Tribolium castaneum: one gene and its partner. The protein of the gene in region 2 purifies or fractionates together with the protein of the main gene of each other region. This does not show direct contact. Links are inferred from orthologs where the notes say so. Each region holds a gene or a part of one and is shown on either strand. Other genes may lie near its edges.

The links.
Region 1: the proteins of Cdk9 (region 2) and Larp7 purify together in Homo sapiens (affinity purification with mass spectrometry; 15 studies listed by BioGRID and IntAct, counting the BioPlex papers as one, with this or other methods). This does not show direct contact. The link is inferred for Tribolium castaneum from reciprocal best matches to the Homo sapiens genes CDK9 and LARP7.

The regions. Positions count from the first base shown.
Region 1 is NC_087394.1:30,501,983-30,505,673, reverse strand, and holds the start of Larp7 (la-related protein 7), read left to right. Parts: upstream 1-863; 5' UTR 864-944; coding exon 945-1,119; intron 1,120-1,180; coding exon 1,181-2,018; intron 2,019-2,072; coding exon 2,073-2,295; intron 2,296-2,352; coding exon 2,353-2,631; 3' UTR 2,632-2,850; coding exon of another isoform or gene 2,851-3,126; 3' UTR 3,127-3,176; coding exon of another isoform or gene 3,177-3,548; 3' UTR 3,549-3,691. Other genes in the region: Gar1 (H/ACA ribonucleoprotein complex subunit 1), read right to left, coding at 2,851-3,126, 3,177-3,548. UniProt on the Homo sapiens protein: RNA-binding protein that specifically binds distinct small nuclear RNA (snRNAs) and regulates their processing and function.
Region 2 is NC_087394.1:32,586,066-32,589,518, forward strand, and holds Cdk9 (cyclin-dependent kinase 9), read left to right. Parts: upstream 1-918; 5' UTR 919-1,144; coding exon 1,145-1,251; intron 1,252-1,321; coding exon 1,322-1,406; intron 1,407-1,453; coding exon 1,454-1,830; intron 1,831-1,887; coding exon 1,888-2,155; intron 2,156-2,354; coding exon 2,355-2,648; 3' UTR 2,649-2,826; downstream 2,827-3,453. UniProt on the Homo sapiens protein: Protein kinase involved in the regulation of transcription.

The DNA.
Region 1 (3,691 bases), about 2.1 Mb from region 2:
ATTAAAATTGCAAGGACTAACAATTAAAAAAATTAATGTGTTTTTCAAAATATCTTTGCAAATGTACATACTATAACTTTTTATTTTGAATTTGCCTCATTAATTGTGGCCAAAAGCCAAAAGATAAAAACATCTCCAAAAGTACATAGTTAAATAATAAATAAGCACGAAAAAACATCGGCAAAGATACTATGAGTTAGTTATGATAAATGTTTTTTTTAAATGACTGTTGTAATTTAATCTGATGAATAATTTTACTTATGGTTTCATAAAATTTAAACCTATTGTAAGATTGCTCAAGTTGGTGGCTTATATGTTGCTAAGGCGATAACATCAGTACTTATACGTGCTGATGTTTAAATTTCACAATCCATAAGGCAAACAATATAAGTATGTCAGTGATTTAAGTAACTTAATGTAATAAACAACTTACTTTTATCATTTTATCGGTGACTTTATAGTTCGTTTCTAAGAAAGATGAAATCAAGGTGAGTATTCAGTTTCACATAATGGATTATTTGAAACGATTTGAAGTACTATTCAAATTCATGGTAAAACTTAATTAAATTAGTTAATAAAGTATAAAAGTTTTTTTTTCATAATCTAAACTAAATACATAGAGTTATTCACTTAAGACTTCACGCCTGATTAGGTAAAAAGTGCAGCACACAATGCACTAGGAGTAGCATGGGTGTAATTGATACAACTAAACATAATTATTTTTTGAATAAGAGCTATCTCCTATGAATAAGAGTAAGCGGCGTATAATTTAAAAAGTAAATGATTTTTTTTGCATTCTAAAAACATTTTTTTTAATTAGGCAACCAAATTTACCTCCAACAAATATTTTTTTTCTATGGTTGGCGGCAGTTTCTTTTTCAATTTCATTTCCAAACGCTAAGTTAGGTTATAATTTTCATTTTTACTTCTGCAAAGTATTGAAAATGGAAAATGAAACGAAAGAAAATGCAAATGCACACGACGATTCAATACTTAAAAAAGGTCGCCATCGAAAAAAGCAACTCTACAATTCCATTTTGCAGCAAATGGAATTTTATTTTAGCGACTCTAACCTCACCAAAGATAGATTTCTATCTCAATTAATAAAGGAGAATCCTTGTAAGTGACTATATGATTATTTTATGAGTAGTTGTAGGTAAATACCAAGCACTTTTTTCAGTTGTCGACCTGAACGTATTTTTGAAATTTAACAAAATTACTAAACTCACAACCAGCATAGATGATATCCAAAAAGCTGTACAAAAGTCGCAGTTAATCGAATTATCAGAAGATCGTAGTAGAATTCGTCGTACAAAACCGGTTAAAGAAAAGGCTAACGTTGATGATTGTACGATTTATGTAGAACGCCTAAAATCCGATGCAACTCATGAATGGTTGAACTCTGTTTTTTCTGAATTTGGAAATGTGGTCTACGTTTCTATACCAAAATACAAAAACAATAGTGCCATAAAGGGTTTTGCTTTTGTCGAATTCGAGAAAGAAAAGGAAGCGCAAAATGCTTTAAATTACTTTGAAAGCATTGGCTGCAAAATGCCGTCAAATACAGAACCAGAAACTCTTTGTAGTATTAAAACATTTGAAGAAAGTAATGAACAATCTGAGGCTTCCTCTAAAAATTCTACACTGAAGCCAAAATCTGGAGAAGACGAAAAGGCAACAAAAAAGCGAAAACTTGAAGACAATAGTGAGAATAGCGAAAAACTAGATAGTGAACACTGTGAGAGTAAAGCGGAGGAAAAAATAAGAAAACGAAAACTTGAAGAAAGTGAATCCGGCGAAAGTGAAGAAAAAGGGAAAAAAATGAAAGTCGATGATAGTAAGCACACTGAAGAAAATGATGAACACAGTGAAAGTGACGAAAAAGAAAAAAATTCAAAACATGATACTGGAGACGTTTCTGAGTCGGACGATGCCGAAAATAAGAAAAAGAAGAAATTGAAAAAAGAACACAAAAAGAAAAATTACATAAAAGAATTGGGCCTCCAAGTGTTATCAAAGTAAGTGAAGCAGCTAGAATTATCTTTAATCATTGATAAATAATTGTTTTTTAGAAAAGAGTGGAAAAAGATGCGAAATCGGTATCTAGATTTACAAAAGAAGAAAATGAAAGAGTTTAAAAAACACCTTCTAAAAGCCAAGTTTAATCAACCAAATTATGAACAAAAGTCGAAAACTCCCACTGCTAAGACTGAACTCAACAAAGAGGATTTTACCAAGGGACTTATTGTAAAAATAAAGCTAACCGAAGCTACCCTGGATATAAAGAAACTTAAGGTAAATTTTCTAAACTAAATATCTTGGCCAATTTATTTGCGATAAATCGTTTTTCAGAATGAAATTAAAACTTCTTCAGCTGATATATTGTACGTAGATATTCCAAACCCTGGCAGTGAGAACATTTATGTAAGATTTAACACCACGGAGGGCGCTAAAAATTTTTGCTCCCAAGAATCTTTTGGCAAAAAAGAGGTATTAACAGGACAGGAAGAATCTTCATATTGGGAAAAAATTAAAACAGATCGTGAGGATAAACTAAACAAAGCAAAAAAGAAACAACGTGGTAGAGACAAACTGTTAAAGAAAGCAAAACATACAAAATTTGATGATTAAGGTTTTGTTTTCAGTTTAAATTTTTTTTAAATATTCTTTATTTATTAACTTTGTCAAACAGTGGCACCATCCATTTCGTGTTGTTTGCTGACATATTCACACAAAAATTTGAAATAACCTGTAGTTCTTATTTTTCATAGATCTATTTTCGTAATAAAAATTTCATACACTTAATGGAACAATTGCCAACCACAAAAAACATTGGTCACAATTTCAAGTCTACCACCTCTTGCCGCCGCCGCCCCCTCCTCGGCCGCCGCCAAATCCACCCCCACGACCACCTCTAAAACCGCCGCCGCCCCCACGACCCCCACGTCCACCGAAATTGCCGCCTCCTCTTCCTCCAAACCCGCCGCGATTGCCGCCCCCTCTGCCACCACCGCGGCCTCCGCCACCCCCACGACCTCCCCCTCGACCGCCTCGTTTCTGGACTGAGCCTGGGGGCTTCGGTAGGAATCTTTGAAGTGGTAACAACTTCGCAGGATCAATAAACAACTGCAAAACATTATTTTAGATGTGTGAATGGTAAGTGAATTTTTTTATACCTTTTGATTCTTTTTAAAACTGCTAGCTTTTATGTCGTCTCCGAGACGTATCGAAACGTAATAATCTCTGAGATTTCCAAAAATTTCATCAATTTTTCCGATTTGTTCCTTATTTTCGAGGTAAATCGGCGCATTGAAAAATGGAACGTCTTCTATTTCTACTTTAGCAACTAAATCATCTTGTACGGTGTAATCGAAGTAGCCCAAAGGAATCACTCTCTCAGGAGGGCCTTGATCATAGTTTCGCCCGCCGCCCCCGCGACCACCAAAACTATTTCTCCCGCCGCCTCCACCAAAATTTCGAGCGCCGCCGCCCCCACGACCACGACCTCCAAAGCCGCCACCACCGCCGCCTCGGCCACGAAAAGACATTTTGTTTCACTCCTCAAATAATTAGAAACGTAAAAGAGCGTCCCTTTGTAAACACGTGGTTTACACTAAATTTTCAGTGCGGCAACATAACCTCTCCTGCAAACGTAACCTCCAACTGTAAACACTCCTAAACTTTGGGCCCT
Region 2 (3,453 bases):
TCTCTTTCTTTAAGATTTATATCAGTTAGAAATTCTATTTATTTTTAAGTAGTACCGTTGAGGTGCCCTTCCAGTTAACAACAATTTAACAGTCTTGTTAGGCATTTTAAACATATTATTAGTCAAGCCAATTTTTGTCCGATTGGCGGTTACAGGGTTGCAACTCCTTCAAAACCTGCTACCAACTGAAACATTGATTCTGGATCACTTTGTATCAAAAATGAATACACAGACCAAAATTAGCTTGTCTTCAAAAAAGTTAATTTAGGAATTCCTTCTTACCTTTTGCTCCTGCGATGAAATTACACGCGAAGATGCTTCTTCCAAAGAAGGAAACGAAGGAAATAAGATGAAAACAGGAAGGACAAGGAAAAATATTAATTTTCACAATTCGACGACACTTGAATATAACGGCGGAGAGTTCTCAAAAATCTGAAAAGCTCTTACTTAAAATAGTGTTTCAAACACAAAACACAACGTCATGGTACCTTTTTTCCCTTTTTTCCGAACCCAGAGTACCATCAAGACACTTCAAGACCATGGAATATCAGCGACCTCTTCACAAAATGAAATTAAGTACTATTCGTAAACAGAAAACTGTAATCTTCTTAAATCAACAAAAGGCACAACAAAAAATATGATTAAGAACGCAAAAGTGTTAATATTGATTACTAAAGTCTTAATTTTTACGAATGATAATGATATTATCATTTCCTATTTTCTTTAAATAAATAATTATATAAATAAATTTGTTGGTTTACTGCGTTTGTAGTTAGAACATTTTGGTAGCAGTGCCAAAATGCTAAAAGTTATCAATTGGTGTTACAATTTGGTAGATTTTTTTTTAATTTCGATAAAATACTGTATTTTTCGAGCTGAAAACCATTCGCGAGCAGGCTCACCCAACCGCGCTTTTTTTCCGTGACATTGTCTATTGTCATATGTCATTCCTGGAGGTTATGTTTTGATTGTGTGTGTTTTTAGTGCAATTGTGATTCAGAAAAAAGCAGCGGAAATGCATTTAAGTACTTTAAATGTGGTGTTTTAAACCTTCACACGTTTCTTCTTAATTGACGAAAAACTGTGCTAAATATTGCCTTGTCTAAAGCTTGTGCAACGTTAGACAAGAGGCGATTTTGCAATCATGAATATGCGAGATAAAGAGAAATACATTGAAAATTTCCATTTCCCGTTCTGTGATGAATCGGAAAAATACGAGAAAATTGCGAAAATTGGCCAAGGAACGTTCGGGTAAGTGACTTAGTTGGGGTTACTTGGGGTCACATATTGTGCCCCATTTGTTGTATTTCTCCGATTGTAGTGAAGTGTTCAAGGCGAGGGACAAAAGTAATCCTAAGAAATTCGTAGCAATGAAAAAAGTGTTAATGGACAATGAAAAAGAGGGCGTAAGGGGTCATTAATTTTTTGCAAAGCTTTCAAACTTGTATTCTAGTTTCCAATCACAGCTTTGCGCGAAATACGAATTTTGCAACTATTGAAACACGAAAACGTTGTTAATCTTATAGAAATATGCCAAACTAAGGCTGCATACCGCAACAGATACAAGTCAACGTTTTATTTAGTGTTCGATTTTTGTGAACACGACTTGGCCGGGTTGTTGTCAAACGTCCACGTTAAGTTTAGTCTAGGAGAGATAAAAAAAGTAGTGCAACAATTATTTAACGGTCTGTATTACATACACAGCAACAAAATTCTTCATAGAGATATGAAAGCCGCCAATGTGTTAATTACAAAGAATGGTGTTTTAAAATTGGCCGATTTTGGCCTAGCTCGTGCATTTAGTACCAATAAGAATGGACTGCCAAATAGGTGAGTTCAAACAGTAAATTAAAAAATTGGTCACTAGTTTGTAATCTACTATTTCAGATTTACAAATCGTGTCGTTACGTTATGGTATAGGCCTCCAGAACTGTTGTTAGGTGAAAGAAACTACGGCCCCCCAGTTGATTTGTGGGGGGCTGGCTGTATTATGGCCGAAATGTGGACAAGGTCCCCCATAATGCAGGGCAACAGCGAGCAACAACAGCTCACTCTGATTTCTCAACTTTGTGGCACCATCTGCCCCCAGGTCTGGCCAGGAGTTGAGAATCTGGAGTTGTACAAGAAGATGGAACTCCCCGTCCAAAAGCGAAAAGTAAGTCCCGTAGGAACAAAGATCGCTTCAATTATAAGCCTAGAATATTTATTTAATCCTCTGTACGAGGTAATGTTTCCACCACGTTCTGAACTGTAGTTTATAAACCGTAATTATTTACATATAAATTCGGAAAAAATGTGATTAAACAAGATCACAGATTTTATTTTTATTATTATTATTTTTTAATCTTCTCCAGGTGAAAGAGAGGCTGAAGCACTACATGAAAGACCCGTACGCTTGTGATTTACTCGATAAGCTGTTGGTCCTCGACCCCGCCAAACGGGCCGATGCTGATACGGCCCTCAACCATGACTTTTTCTGGACTGACCCAATGCCATGCGATTTGAGCAAAATGTTAGCCACTCACACTCAAAGCATGTTTGAATATTTGGCTCCGCCGAGAAGACCGACACAAATGAGGCATCATTCGTTGCCAAGACCGACAACTTCCGCTGTGCAAGACAGCGGATACCAAGATAGGGTTTTTTAGTTGTAAGAAACACGGACATTGTGGTTATTTTCAAGTAATGTGGAAATTGTTTCTAAAGTGGAAACATAACTGAAGGTTTTTCGGGAACCCTAAAATTTGATGTTACTTTTTATTATCTTTTTGTAACGTTTAATATGATGTTACTTAGTTAACATAGCGAATAAACTGTGTAAAAACGCTTGGTGTTTTTTTGGGGTGGAATGAAATGACTTGTTAGTACATATTATATATTTTATTGGTTTGACTGCACTGCCATCCGGCCTTACAATTCAACAACATGGCACACTGTACATGTATCTGTAAAATAATATATATGTATCTGTACATATCTGTTAGCTTGTTTCATAGATCCTCTACATAGGTAAATAACATTCTTGAAGGAGAAACCTTCATTCAAGGCACTTCAATAATCATTGTCTTCTCTTCATTTAATTAGATGTAGTTTCCTACCCATTTCAAATTGTTCTAAATTAACGCAATAACATTGTAACTCTGTTGCTAATTTAGTTGAGCTTACCGAAAGTTTTGGCAAAAAGAACTGGTAAATAAAATGAACCACTCATAACAATGACCTTTCAGAATACTGATTACGAAACCGTAAAATTTTGAAGGCAAATATCACAGAATGCCCAACAAATTACACATTAAATCACATTTAATTGTAAAACATTGCGGAGGACGTCAAACTTAACAAACGAGAAATTAATCAATCATGGCATATTTACATTTTCGGGCGCGGTTAAATTTAACCCCTCCTTCACTTAATTAACTTAACATTAAATTGAATTTATCTAAGACATTCTGT